Pelodiscus sinensis: one gene and its partner. The protein of the gene in region 1 interacts with the protein of each later gene in a pairwise test. Links are inferred from orthologs where the notes say so. Each region holds a gene or a part of one and is shown on either strand. Other genes may lie near its edges.

Region 1 (7,858 bases):
CGTAAACGGGATGCAAATTAGACACATCGCAATTGCAAATGAAGGGGGGATTTAAATCTTCCTTGCTTCATTTGCATAAATATGACTGACGTTTTTTTCCGGCTCGAGGCTTTGCCGGAAAAAAGCGCCAGTCTAGATGGGGATCTTTCAGAAAATAAAGCCTTTTCCGAAAGATCCCTTATTCCTCTTAAAATAAGGAATAAGGGATCTTTCGGAAAAGGCTTTATTTTCCGAAAGATCCCGTCTAGATTGGCGCTTTTTTCCGGCAAAGCCCCGAGCCGGAAAAAAGCGGCAGCCATGTTTATGCAAATGAAGCGGGGAAGATTTAAATCCCCGCTTCATTTGCAATTGCGATGTGTCTAATTTGCATCCCTTTTATGGAAAAGGGATGCAATCTAGACACAGTCTTATTGTTTTCACACACAAACTTCAGGGGTCATCCTTTGAGAATTGAAATTTGGTGATGTTTAGATAATCCAGGAAAGCAGACATTGTCAAATGAGTGGGTGTGAGAAACGGATAAATATTTCAGGTTTCCAAGAAACTATACACACTGTTTCACTGCCTTAGTATAGTCTAAGAATTTTCTTTTAACATAGCATTCCATGGAGAGACAGAGTAGTCATCGGCACATCTGTAATATACCTATAAATTGCTTGCTCTCATCCCATTAGAAAAAACAATGGTAGCACTTTGGTAAACAGCTTATCTGATTACTGAGTCACTCTTTTTATTAAAATGGCAATGTTTCTGCTAAAAATCCTGAAAGGATGTTCTTGAATAGAATACGAGAACTCTTAAGCAGAGAGAATTAAGTTATTCATGCTATTTCAAACACCCTAAGTCATCTCTAGACAATTTCACTCATGCATTTTTGCTGCAGTTCCCAAGCAGAATTGAACACCAATCTTCCATGATAGTTCATATATAAATAATACACATGAGCATGGACTTTAATTTACAGGCACATGACATTCTGATATTTTAATCCAATAGCACCTTCAGTTTGGAATCTCTCTACATCATTAAGGTCACAACACAGTTCCCATTGCAAACCCCTTTTTTCATCTCCTTTATAACATACAGCTAAAGACATTACCATGTGTTAGCTTAACACGAGGCAAACTTAAACATGATTCATACATGAGAAGCAGAAAGAAAAGCAACTAATGAGGGAGTATGAACGTATAAATTAAAGTAATGCCCTTACATACTCTTATTCCTTGCAGCCTTTCTGTGTGTACATAGCCCCAGATTAGATTCCATTGGACCCACTAACCAATAACATCAAGAACTTAACACTTGGCCTCTTAATTTTAGTCATTTAGTGTTATCATTATGGGGCAGTAAACATATTTGCATTTGATAATACAGAATTACTTTGTTCCTCATATGGAAGTTGAGTGACGAATAAACAGTGGTACAAGTATGCCATACTAGCAAAATATTTTTAGCCAGCATAGCAAACCAGAAAGACTCCCTGCTGACCAACCCCGACCCCTCCACTGGCTGTGTGCGTACAATTCTGCAATCTGGGGGGCAGGGCTGAGAATGCTTTGGCAGCCAAAGGAGCTGCCAGCATTCTGCTCCTTCCCCACTGCTCCTCCTGATGTAATTCCGAAATAACATAGTTCGTGCCTACACAGCAGGCAGTTATTTTGACAATGTCAAAATACTGTGAAGCTGGAGGACTTCTTACTACAACTCCGGTAACTCTCATTATACTAGGAATAAGGGAAGTTGGAAGACGAGTGCTCTAACTTGGACTAAGGATTTTAGTCCAAGTATTAAGTATTGGACTAATCGAATAGTCGATGAAAAAATGCATCGACTATTCAATTAGTCAATAGGGCGGCGCTGCCCCTTTGAAACGCTGCTGTGGCATTTCAAACGGGCAGAGCCCAGGGTCAGCTGAGGAGTCCAGATCATTTGTGCGGCACTACCCCAGATTTCCTCCCGTTGTTGCCTCTATCTAATGAAGGCAGCAAGGGGGAGGAAGCGACTAATTGATTATCCTGTTGACTATCTGATAAGCAAATGCAATGACTCTTTAACATCCTTAAATTAGCTTCCTGCCGAAATAAGCTGTTTCAACTTCAGCTACGCAATTGACATAGCTCAAGTTGCGTTGCTTATTCCAGCTTTAGCCCTGTTGTGTTGACATGCCCTACCTGTGTTTAAAATAGACTGGCAAATTTCACTATTTTTTGTGAGATGAAGAAAAGGGGAAAGAACAATTTCCCCTTCATTTTAAAATGTTTGTACTGGGAACATTGGGACGGGAAATGGTAGAAAATTGAGGCAAATAAGGTAAATGCCTAATTTTAGATATTTAATAAAGGAATATAGAAAAGAAAGAGGAAGTAGCTTTTGTTTCCTACTATGACTCACAAAACAAATGGGTCAGCATATGGGTGACCAGAAAGCTAATGTAGGTGAGGCAACAAATACTTACGATGATTCAGAAGGAAACATTGCTCTCTTTGAGTCATTGGTAAATCAAGACCATAGTAAATCAAGATGCATCTGAGGAAGTGGGTCGTTGCCCACAAAAGCTTATGCTCCAATAAATCTGTTAATCTATAAAGTGCCACAGGACTTCTCGTTGTTTTTCCAGATTCGGACTAACACAGCTACCCCTCTGATACTCAAGACCATAGTGTAATGACAAAAGTTAAACACAAAGTTTAAAGAGAAGCTAGATAATTTCATGGAGGTTAGGTCCATAAAAGGCTATTAGCCAGGGGATAGAAATGGTGTCCCTGGCCTGTTTGTTAGAGGCTAGAGATGGATGGCATGAGACAAATCGCTTGATCATTGTATTCGGTCCACCCCCTCTGGGGCACCTGGCGCTGGCCACTGTTGGCAGACAGGCTTCTGGGCTAGATGGACCTTTGTCTGACCCAGTACGGCCGTCCTTATGTTCTAGGGTGATAGACCTGGTGTCCAGGCAAACTTCCAGCTCTAATAACTAAATTCCACATCTCTATAGACTCCTTCTAGTTTCAATGGGATATTTCATTCTAAACTATTGTGAATGGTGCTAGGTGCTATTAAGCAAGGTCATTGTTCACAAAGATGAGTGAAATGTTTCCTAAGTATCCTTTACCTTCCTCACAGAAGTGTTGTGTGGTTTGGTTAGGTTATGTAACATGTTGAGATTCCTGAATAGAAGGCGCTATGGAAAAGTTGGATAATATATGTCATGAGTCCAGGGATTCAATTTTAATCATTTTGTTGGTCAATGTAAGGTGTTGCCTGCTGTGCAAGGAGATGTTGTAATTAAAACCCCATTAGGACTATGACAATCAAATTAACCTGCTGGCTATCTTCCATCCTCCCTGACTGGGCTGGAGAGAAAGGGTCTAGACAATAGGTCACTGAACTACTCAGGCTAGTAGAAAGGTCCATCATCACCAGTGTACAAGAAAAATAAATAGGCTGAGGTTAGAGAGGGAACAAGCTCAGGAGGGAATCACAGGCCTGCACTATACCTAAAACTTGGATCTATCTACCTAAATGCCAAATGGCCAAATAAGCTATTTCAAAAGAGCATCAAAATAAGATATACAACCTGCATAGCTCAAATTGCATATCTTGTTTCAAGTTACGGTGCCGTGTAGACACACCTTACAGCAGCAGGACAAGCCTGTAATGTATATACCAGGGGTGGGCAATAATTTTTTTCCGGGGGACACTTCAGAAATTTTTGAACTAGTCCCAGGCTGCCCCAGAAGGGGTGGGGCCTCTGGCAGAAGGGGCAAGGCCAGGACCCTTCTGAGTTTCCCCACCCACAGACCCTGATGGGTCAGGGGAGGCACGCACACTCTAGGGACCCATGACCCTGGCTGTAGGAGGCAACTTTGCATGCTTCCCCCCACCCCCCAGGAAGTCTCTTGCTCCCTGTCCCAGTCCTGCAAGGGAGTGCAGCAGTTAAGAGTCAACCACCAGCTGAGCAGCAGCTGATGGTTGACTTTAAGTCCTGAGCCCCTTGCAGGGCAGGAGACTTCACTGCTCCCCCACCCCCAAACCTTGATAGGCCTGGAGGTGGGGGGAGCAAGTGAAGTTCCTGCCCCCATCCTGCAAGGTGCATGCAGTACTTAAAAGCTGCACCCCTCGCAGAGTGGAAGGAGACTCCATCTGCTTCCCCCTCTCCCCCAGACCCTGAGTGGCCTGGGGGCAGTGATGAGGGCCTCCACGGCCAGTTCAACTTCCTTGGTGGGCTGAGTCCAGCCTGCAGAGGCCCCTTTGCCTACCCCTTGTATATACTGACACAATTAGGTCAATGTTAAGCTGCTTTTGATCAACCTGAGTAATGCAGACCAGTTCCTGGATAGTCTTCCATTCAACCCCCTTTCTTTTGAAAAAGGATTTCTCCTGCTCTCTGGCTATGATGATTCACGGTTATGCAGAGCGGGGAAAGGCCAGCCAGAGTGTCTCGGTCTGTGCCCAGCCACGCTGATGGGTCATGATCTGTCTGTTCCCGGGTTTGTACAATGGGAAGCGCGGCTGCCCCCTGCCTGGCTGGACTGCGGAGCGGAATGTTGCAGCCCAGACTCTGGGCAGCGCGCGAGAGCTGCGCAAACACGCGCGCGCGTGCGCGCGCTCGCACAGCAACGTCCGGCTCGCAGGGTGAGCGTCCCGCTCGGCCCCTCACGCGCTTGCACGGGAGAGCGGGCCTAGGCGCGTGGGCTGCCAGAACCACCTCGCGCAGCCGCGCTGGGCGCACTCGCGCGCTCACACGGTGCTCATGGCCGTGGGGGGGAGGGGGGGAGTAATTGGGTTTTGGACGCAAAAAGGGCGGGGCGGGGCGAGCGCTCGCTGGCAACGCCCTGTTGTCATAGTTACTTCTCCCCGACACACCCCCAGCCCAGGCTTATCAAAGCCCGTGGGAGGCCGGGGCGCGGGTATCGCAGCCTCAGCCTCGATCTCGGTGCTGAGCAGAAAGGCGACGCCAACGGCCGCGACTTTTAAGCCTCGAGTGCGCCCTTACTAAAGATGGCGGCCGACCCCCCCCCCCCCCCGCCGCCGTTGCCGCAAGCGGGTTGAAGGCAGGCAGCCCTCTCTTAAGATGGCCGCCGTTTCCTTACACCCTCCGCCCATGCGGTGAGTTGGGGGGGGGGGTGTAAAACAGGCCTCCCTTAGCAAAGATGGCTGCTGTTCCCACGAGGCTTCCAAAGGGTGTGAGGGTAGCCTGCCCTGAGTCAAAATGGCCGCGCGCCGTGCTCGAGGTGCGGCGCGAGGAAGGGTAGCTGGCCGCTAGCCCGGCCAGGAAAGCGGTGAGCCGGGGCGGGGGCAGCAGGTTTGAGCGAGGAGGGGCTGGAGGGAGCGAAAGGTCACTTCCGTCGCCTGCCAGGCTGGCTTCTTGCGTTGTCCCAGAAGCAGCCTGGGGATCGGGGCCCTGGACTGGGATTCGTGTTTCTGTCCTTCAGGTGTTGCCCAGGGGTCACGGCTGCTTATTGTTTGGGGTGTCTGGACCCTGTGTCACAGTGCGCTCGGGGGGGGGGGGAGGGGAGGAGTTTGTTTTTGCGCGGCAAGGTCTAATTTTTGCTGATTCGAGAGGGAATGGAATTGTGTCACCCGTCTCTGAGGGGTAGTCGTGTTCCTCTAACACTGGGTAGGTTTGTGGCGCTTTAGTATCTATAGTATCATGAGCTTTCCTGGGCAAAACCCACTTGGTCAGACGGTTCTTGTGACGTAGGGGGGGTACTTGCTGGGCTGTGGTGACCTCTGCTGTCTGGAGCAAGACCCAGCAGGGGAAACCTCACTATGCAAAGGTGATGCCAAACCGGTTGAACCATGGAGAGGAACAAAGGAAGGTGGAGGCTGCCCTGGCTGGGGGGCAGGGCTGGAAGAGAGTGAGTTTAGTTGCTGTCTGGGAGCATGGAGGAGACAGCCTAGGGAAAGGGGCTAGAGTTTAGGGGCCCAGTCTCCCCCCATCTCAAGGGGGCCTGAGGCATCCTAGCCCAGCTCTGGGACCAGATTACATCTGTGCTGTGCTGTATCCTGGAGAGGCAATAAACGTCCTCTATTCCACCGGCTGGTGCAGTCTGTTTGTGCCATTTCGGGGTGCAGGAGACGGGGGACCCCCCCAACGCGCCGTCACAGTTCTTATCTGGCCAAATGGGTTTTCCCAGGAAAGCTCATGATACTATATACATATTTGTGTTAAAGTGCCATGGGACCTACTCGGTTTTGTTGTATCATTAGGTATTTCATAGACACAGTGCTGGGTACAAAGTGATTCTGTTCTAGCCCCAGTTTCCACTATGATTTTCACATTGATTATTCAGTGAATAGTATTGTTTCAAATGTTCTATGCTGCAAATTTAATAAATCAATGGCAAGTAGCATCAGAAGCGCCCCCACATTGGCTGTAGGCACTGTGCACTCCACGTGGACAATTCAAAGGCCTCATGATCCCTCATACAGTCCCTGTGAGCTAAACCATGGGCTCCATGACCAACTTGTGGCATTAGGTGGTCCCTGGGGACTGGCAGTGGGGAAAAACCAGACACAAATATGAGTGTTGGTGCCACCTCTAGAGAATTTTACCATGTGCTATCCTTCTAATTGCTGGTCACCAGATTCCTGAGGCCTGCCTCCCCCTGCCCCTCACCCTGTCCCTGTTGTTCCCACCTCCCCACTCTGCTCTACCTCCACCCTCCCACCCCAAAATGGGCTCCCTCTGCTCTGGAGCCAGGACAGGAGCTGCTGCAATATGACCTGTATTGGACTTATTTTCTTCCTATTTACATGCTCTTTCCATCTGCCCCTGCATATTTTTACTAGCTTTTCCCATTTTGGAAACTGCTGTAAAATTACCCAAGGACCAACAAAAGCAACAGAGGGTTAGCTGAGTTAGTTTGTAACAGGAAAAACTTCTAAAAACAACAAATAGTCTAGTAGCACTTTAAAAACTACATGTTTTGTTAGTCTTTAAAGTGCTACTAGACTATTTAAGTTTTTCCAATAAAAATAAGTCATATAGTAGTAGTGGTTTAATTAAACTGTAATATTTGGTACTCATATATCACCTTCCATTCTGTGATTTGAAAGTGCTTTACAAACATTAATTCCTTACACCCGATAATTAAGTGAGGTGGCAATATATGTATTATCTGTGTTTTCCAAATGAGGAAACTGAGGCATAAATAAATTAAATGAGAGCTTGGAGATGTATGTGACTTTGATCAAGAACCAGGATTCTTGGATCCCCAGTTTTGCTAGTCAACCACTAGACCAGAGGTGGCCAACCTGCGGCTCTTCACCCCTGCAAGTGTGGCTCACAAAGCTGCCCCATGCGCCCCTACAAATGGCCCCCAGCTGCCCAGCCTCATTTTTTGAGGAGTACAGGATCTTTCGAAAAAGGGGGTTTTTTGAAAGAACCAAGTCTAGACGGCGGTGTCACTTTTCGAAAGAACACTATGATGTGATTATGCAAATGAAGCATAGGATATTTAAATCCCCGCTTCATTTGCACTTTCGATCTGCCTAATTTACATCCCTCTTTCAAAAGAGGGATGTAGTTTAGACATAGCCTATATGTGTGTCTCAGTTATTGGAAAAAACAACCAAAAAATTGAGATGGCTGAATTTATGACCTTGTAAGGTTCTATATGAAAAACATAAAACTAGAATCTCTGATTACTGAAGTTACTTTTCCTCAAAACTTGTACTTGTAAAGCCTGTGGTTTTAACTTGATGCTCAGGAGGAAGAACGGCTCAGATTTTCACAGTACTAGTTTGTATCATATATACTGGAATCCTTATTACTGCTGCAATGTCGTGGATGCAAGCTGCAGTCATCCGGCCCAGTGAGGATGTGTTTGATGAAGATGCTGATGAACTGCATCTT
Region 2 (7,534 bases), on another chromosome or scaffold:
CGCAATGCCGTTCTTCCTGAAAAGTAATAGGTGTAACGGCATTGCGCAAGAGGGTTTTTCTTGCACAAAAAGGGGCAGTGTAGACGCTCTTTCTTGTGCAAGAGCCTCTTCTGAAAAAAATGGTTGCTCGTTAGGTATGCAAATGAGGCTCGGCGATATTCCACGCTTATACTCATTTGCATATTACTCGTGCAAGAAGCTCCGAGTGTAGACATAGCCTGAATGTATATACTCTATTTGTATGCGTTTATCTTTCGTGTTCTTCTGGCACAGGCAACAGCAGACACTTGTATGTGAAGTTAGAAATATGAAGTGTAAAGCTGTTTATTAATCTAGATCTGCTAGTGAGAGCCATTAATGGTACTTAAGGAACTTGGCCCAGAGCTCACAGCAATGATCTGTGAATAGTCTTGTTGTTCCCGTAAGCCTAAACTATGGTTGATCCTATAAAGTCGTGTGACTATGCCACTTGGTTTTGGAATCCATCCTGAATTTGATATTTTTCCACTGGGGTGGATGAATGGAACAAAGATTTCCCCATCCTGTGGAAATTCTATTTAAGGAATGGGAAGCAAACAATGATGGTCTTCAGCTGGCTTCACAGAATGATCCCCATCACAAAAGGACATATGAAGAGACCTGGAAACAAAGGGAGAGAAGCAGCTGGGTCCAAGTCAGAGAAAAGATCTGCTCTGTCCTGAAGGACTTTACCTGAAATAAGGACTAGTGTGAGAAAATATGATATGTTACAATATCTCTTCGTGTATTAGTCTTAGCTGGCATGTTTTGTATATTTTGACTTAGTATCTCACTTTGATCTGTCTGTCATCACTTGCAACCACTTAAATCCTATTTTTTATACTTAATAAAATACATTTATTGTCAAGCCCAGTATAAATAATTGTTACTTGTGGAGAACAGCTGTGCATATTTCTCTTTCACTGATAAAGAGAGTGAACTCTATGAGCTTTCTCTACGTAAAACATCTCTACTGATTCCCGGCTCGTGCCCAGTCCCAGATGCTGCGACTCTGCTTTTTAAATGTATTAAGAGCTGGTTGGCAAAAGAATCTCTCAAAACTGGGTGACTAGGCAACCAAATGGTAGATGAAATGTAATGTTTATAAATGCAAAATAGTCCACATGGGAAAACATAATCCTAACTATACAAATAAAATGATGGTGTCTAAATTAGCTGTTATTACTCAAGAAAGACATCTTGGAGTCGTTGCGGATAGATCTCTGAAAACATCTACTTGATGTGCAGTGATAGTCAAAAGAGTGAACAGAATGTTGGGAATCATTAACAAAGAGATAGATAATAAAACAGAAAATATCATATTTGCTCTATATAAATCCATGGTACATCCACAGCTTGTGCATATGTGATTGCCCTATCTCAAAAAGTATATAGTGGAATTGGAAAAGGTTCAGAAAAGGACAACAAAAATGATTCGAGATATGGAATGGCTTCTATATTATGAGGAGAGATTAATAAAACTGGCACTTTTCAGCTAGGAAAAGAGACAATTAAGCGGGGATATCACTAAAGATCTATAAAATCATGACCAGTGTAGAGAAAGTAAACAGGGAAGAGCTATTTACTCCTCCTCATAACACAAAAGCTAGGGGTCACCAAATAAAATGAATAAACAGCAAGTTTAAAACAAACAAAAGGAAATATATTATCACACAATGTGCAGTCAACGTACGGAATTTTGGCCAGAGGATGTTGTGAAGGCCAAGACTATGATAGGGTTCAAAAAAGAACTAAATAAATTCGTGAAGGATAGGTCCATCAATGGCTGTAAGTGAGGATGGATAGGGATGGTGACCCTTGCCTCTGTTTCCCAGGTGCTGGGAACAAGCAACTCAGTGAATATCTGTTCTTTTCATTCTCTCTACAGCACCTTTCCTTGGTTGTCTGTGGAAAGACAGGATACTAGGCTAGATGGATCTTTGGTCTGACCCAGTATGGCCATTTTATGCTCTTGTGCACCCCAACTCTCTTGTCCCAGTGTAACTGTCACCAGATAGATTTGAACCTGGGAAGCTTAGTATAGGAGCCTCTACCCTTTCAGCTATACTGTAGAGGTCTCTTGTTTTTATTTGTTGCTGTGGTCTAGGTGCCACTTCATGGGACAGAGACCCAAACTAGGTATGTGGGTTACACCAGCTCTGAGCTCCCTTCCACACCCAAACTCCCTCTCGGAGTCCAAATCCCTACCCTAGCTCGAAACACTCCCTGCACCTACTGGTGACTGCTAAGGAGGGACTCAAGACCGCTGGCCATGTGACTGCCCCCATATGACTGCTCCCCCATGCCACTATTAGAATGGGTAGGTATGCTAAGAGATGAGTTATTGACTAATTGTGCAGTCGATACAATTTGTATCCACCACACAATATGTCTATAAGAGAAGGGCTCTGTGCTGGCTTGCACTGGTCCAGGAGCTACCCCTGCTGTAGCTCTGCAGTTTAAATGTAGTAGAAACTGGGCGTGCAGGCAGCCTGTCTCCTACTACATTTAAACTGCAGAGCCGCAGGGGAGGTAGGTCCCAGACCATTGAGAGCCAGGACTGAGCCAGATTTGCTTGGTCCTGGCTCTCACCAGGTGCAGCAGCCCCTATCTGCAGGGGGTCCAAGCAGGGTGTGGACAGGGACTGCTGCTGGAGCAGTCTCTGCCTGAGGCCAACCTGGACCGCCATGAACAGGGGCTTCTGCTGGAGCTGGTGCAAGCCAAAACCAAACAAGTCTAGCTCAGTTGTGGCTGGGGTCAGTCTGGGACCGCTGTGGCTCTTACTACATTTAAAATGTAGAGACACAATGGTCCTGGCTCTGTCCCAGCTCATGCCTGATAGAGACAGTGGCATGGGGCAAGTGGCACCACAGAGACGGTGCTGGGGGAACCAACTTTTAAGCTGGATCCCCCCAGCACTGGGTCCATTCCCCTCTCCCCTTGCTGCCTCTGATACAAAAGCAGCAGCAGGGAGGGAAGCGAGTAGTCGAATAGTTGACTACTCACTTACATCCCTACTGGGGAGGGCCCAACTTCTTCCCATCCCCATCCCACATCCACTCCATCCTTTCCCCAACCTTGTGCTCCACCCCTCCCCATCCCTGCTCCACCCTCTCTCTTCCTCTAATCCACTCTTTCCTCAAGCTCACCCTTTTCTCTCCCCCCCCCCCGCTGAACAACATGGCCCAGGGGGCAAAATGGGGGATTTGGCACCAACAGCAGCAGTCAGCTTTTGCCCTGTACTCCACAGTGGAGAAGCAATCCGACACAAGCCCACTCTGTTCCTTTGGCTCTAAGTCACATTGCTCCACTTCTCTGCCACTGGTGAGTGCAAAGGGAGGTGCCATCAGTTCAACCAAGTTCCTTTCCCAGCGACACAGCTAGGGGTCAGGGGAGCAGAGCAGGCTAGGGCTGGGTCATTCTGCTTCCCGCCACTGCCATTAAGTATTGGGGGACCCAATCGCTGCTTCCAGTGTCAGGCCCCCTGCTAATCTTCATCCCTGGGGAACAGGGCTTAAGGAAAGTGGAGGAACTGCCCTCTGCACTCACCAGCTGTGGGAAGCAGAGGGAGGTGGAGATCTGCTTCCCACCACCTGCTAGTCCCATGCACAGTGTGGAGCCCCTCAAAGTTAGATGAACTGTCTTTAGGACAGGATGTCTCTGGCTGCTGGCCCCTTGGCTCTACCCCCAGTGGCATTCAGGGGGCACACAACTGTTAGTGCCCACCCTATATCTCCCTGAGAGGAGTGGGGGGGCCTTGGAGGAGTAGGGCAGGGTTGGGTCCTTGAGGAATGGGCAAGACAGGGGGCAGGCCAAGGATGTTTGGTTTAGAATCATTAGAAAGTTGGCCACACTAGCTAGTCTTTGAGGTGGAGCTTTAAGAAGACCAACAAACATCACAAGATTTGTAATACAATTGTGAGTTGGCAAAACGGTGAACCTTTATCTATGAATGTGTCCTCCTGTGTTTGGTGTTTTTTGTAAAGCTCCAATCCCAAGAGTCATGTGACTTCATATGATATTCAGCTTTCCGGTTTGTTTTCTTTTCTTTTTTTCTAAATAAAAAGATCCCCGGGTGAGTATTTTTTTAAAAACCTGTTTGTTTTTGGATGGTGAGCTCAAGGCTTTTGAGCCGGTGGGAGGAGCAACCTGCTCCTCACATACTTCTCTCCGCAACTCCCAGCCCCGCCCCCTTCCCTGGCTCATCCCTGTCTCCCAGGCGCTTCTCCCGTCCCGGCCCCAGGCTCCTCCCCCACGTAGGCCCCGCCCCCGTCTCCCTTGCCGACGGTGCCCCAGTTCCTCTCTCTCCCCTCGCGTTGCCCCTGGTTTCCGTTGCGAAGGAAGCGGCGTCCGTGGTTGCCAAGATGGCGGCAGGGCGGCCGAGCCGCAGAGCGATGGGCGCCCCCGCCCAGCCCTGACCCAGCAGGCAGGCAGGGACCGGCATGGGGGCGGTCCGGCGGGGCTGAATGGAGCCCGGCGTGAGGGGCGCGGGGGGCGTCAGCCCCGCACAGTGGGAGCCGGGCTCTGCTGCGCCGGGCGGGTCCGGCTGGAGGAGCCTCTTTCGCCCGGCTCCGGACTGCGCGCCTCAGTGCCACGGCGGCACCTTCGCGGGCAGCGCGTGCGCGTATCCTTCGCGGGTGCAAGGCAGCGGGGCTCTGCGGGGGCAGGGCAGGCGGCACCCCCGGGAGTGTTGGAAAAGGGGGAGACAAGCCCCAGTGACAGGATGTCTGGGAAAGAAGGAGAGGAGGTGCGCGGAATGGGCCCTGGGAGGAGGGAGGCTGGGATAGGAGGGCAGGCCCCGTGGGGCAGCTCACTGGGGATGTGCAATTAGCTGTCCCACAAGGTGGCTGCCTCAGGAATAGGTGGGAGTGCCACCCCTGCATGGATCATTCAGTTGCCCTCATATTTTGATGTGGATGGGGTTGGCCCAATGGATGAGCTTATCTTCCTGAGTGGTTTTATAGGAAGAGGCATTGTTAGGGTACCCCACATACCCAGTCCCTGTGAGGGCCTCCAGTATGGTGGCAACATAGGGTTATTATTGGATTTGGAAGCTAGAAGAGATAATTTTGACCATCTTGCATCAATATATTGTAATATTACAGAAGATACATTGGCATAAAATATCCTTTTTTTAGATTTAGCCTTTTAACATCAAAGAGAATAAAAGTATCTAAAACCGTGTGGGGACTGAACTTTTTTTCTGTTTTTGGAACTCCTTTAATAAGAACAGCCATGCTGGGTCAGACCAAAATTCTAAAGGCCAGCTAAATCGACCACTGATTGCAGTCCTGTTGACTTGGGTACTCCACTGGAGTGAAAAGAGTAAAGGAAGCTAAAGGAGGAGTTTCTCCCATCGACCCCCAGTAGTGGCGATGCCTTAGAAACTTGAACTAATGTATGTTGACTCCAATTATGCTAGTCACGTTGCTGGAGTTGCATTCCTTATTTTGACATTGCCCCCAGGGTAGACCAGGCTGAAAAATTTGTTTCCCTGTTCTCTGTAAAAAAACAACATTGGTCCTGTAGCACCTTAGAGAATAACAAAAATATATAAATAGTATATGAGTTTTCGTGGGCACAACTCACTTCTTCAGATGGCATATAAGAAGTGGGTTGTACCCTAGGGATACTTATCTGGTAGTCGAGTCACTACTTGAGTACTCGCTTCCTCACTCCTCCCCTCCCTCCCCCTGCTGCCTCTGTACCAGCTCTTGTGCAAGAGGGCTTACACTTGTTAGAAAAGAGTGAGTGTAGCTCTTGTGCAAGAAGCCCTGTCTTCCAATGCTGTACTGTAAATCTTCTTGTGCAAGAGCGGGCGAGCAGTGTGGATGCTCTGCGGGTTCTTGCACAAGAATGGCAGTTCTTGTGCAAGAATCTTCCAATACAGACATAGCCAAGCAGTCCCCGCTCGCACCAGGTCCCAACTGATATGCCTCTGCCTTTGAAATGTAGCAGGAAAAGCCCGCCGGGACTTTTGTTACATTTCAAAGGCAAAAGGGCCACAGTTCCGTGCTCCGCCTCTGCCTTTTAAATGTAGTAAGAGCCACAGGCATCTCTCATTACATTTAAAATGCAGCGGTGCAGCTGGGATAGCGAGCGCCACATCTACCCCTTATTGACTAATCATGTAGTTGATGGAAATTCCATTGACTGCTCATTCCACGAGGAGTAACGGTAGTTCGAACTAGGAAGCCTAGTTCGAACAACCTAGTTCGTGCCGCGTGTAGCCGCGCGGCACGGGGTTCGAACCAGCCGGGATTTAAAAATGGCGGCGCCCGGCTTATGCAAATGAAGCCCGGGAAATTCAAATCCCGGGCTTCATTTGCAATTGCGGTATGCCTACATTACCCTGCTAGTTCAAAATAGCGGGGTAGTGTAGACATACCCTTACTTGCTTCAGGACCAGTGTTGTTTTTTTAACTGTTATTAGTTACAGACTAACACAACTACCCCTCTAAGACTCTGTATTACCTATGTGCCTAGTAATTGTATTTCTGCTGCACCTATTGCTATAATAGCTAAGCATAAGGGAAATATCTGATTAAATATTATTATGATTTATTATTATTATCAGGGCTCGACAAATTGTGTAATCTACTTGCCTATGGCGAGTAGATTACAAGCTGGCACAGCCAGCACCACTCGATCTGCCCATGTGCAGCGCAATCTGTGCATGCGCAGCTCGCAGAACCGCACGGCTGGCGAGCAGGGCTCGCCACCACTTGGTGAGCCCTGATTATTATTTATTTTTGTTAAGTGGTGGCATGTTTGGTTTTAAAAAGACAAAGAGAAACACCCAGTCTCTAAACCAAAAGAAACTAACAGACGCTGTGTTAAGACAAGGCAAATATTGGATCCTGCTTGACAGTAACTGTATATGTATGTATTTTAAGCAAGATATTGAAGAATTTTGAATTGTAATTACTCATTACATTACAGATTAAACAATTATCATTTTGGAGGTTTTAAATTTTATTTTAAGAAATATTTTCCATTTGATAACCTTGCTATTTGGTAGATCAGATCATAAAGAATGATGTATCCTCAGCTCTAAATAGAAAAACTATAATTCTGTGTGGTACCATCATAAACCAAGAGTGCAAAGCCTGAGTGATAGAAATTGAGAGATGGAATTGCATTCTTAATGTATGTATATTAAGACAGTACCTTATTTAAAATTATATCTTTATGATAAGCCATTGCCTAATTTGAAGAATTATCATTTTTAGTTTAGTTATGGATAACGATTACATATTCTCAAAAAAGTCCATAACGCTCAAGTCATGTAAAAGAATCCATGCAAATAGGTTATTATGTCCATGACGAGTATAATTTTATATCTGTGGCTAAGACTGCAAATTCATTTGCAATCAGTCTAAAACTTAATAAGAATACTAAATAGAAATTTCAAGGATTTTATATGTATATATATATTTGTCCTTAACATAAAGTCATGGTCAGAACTTTGAAATTTCTTCTTGAGAGAGATTTAGAAGAAGAGCGTGAAGCATTA

The links.
Region 2: the proteins of YAE1 (region 1) and CEP126 interact in a two-hybrid assay, tested with the Homo sapiens proteins (2 studies listed by BioGRID and IntAct). The link is inferred for Pelodiscus sinensis from reciprocal best matches to the Homo sapiens genes YAE1 and CEP126.

Annotation. Positions count from the first base shown.
Region 1 is NC_134712.1:166,988,118-166,995,975, reverse strand, and holds the start of YAE1 (protein YAE1 homolog), read left to right. Parts: upstream 1-4,799; 5' UTR 4,800-5,106; intron 5,107-5,127; exon of another isoform or gene 5,128-5,279; intron 5,280-5,298; exon of another isoform or gene 5,299-5,432; intron 5,433-7,712; 5' UTR 7,713-7,783; coding exon 7,784-7,858. UniProt on the Homo sapiens protein: The complex LTO1:YAE1 functions as a target specific adapter that probably recruits apo-ABCE1 to the cytosolic iron-sulfur protein assembly (CIA) complex machinery. May be required for biogenesis of the large ribosomal subunit and initiation of translation.
Region 2 is NC_134711.1:304,295,891-304,303,424, forward strand, and holds the start of CEP126 (centrosomal protein of 126 kDa), read left to right. Parts: upstream 1-4,484; coding exon 4,485-4,642; intron 4,643-7,472; exon of another isoform or gene 7,473-7,474; coding exon of another isoform or gene 7,475-7,482; coding exon 7,483-7,534. Other genes in the region: ANGPTL5 (angiopoietin-related protein 5), read right to left, coding at 4,301-4,462. UniProt on the Homo sapiens protein: Participates in cytokinesis. Necessary for microtubules and mitotic spindle organization. Involved in primary cilium formation.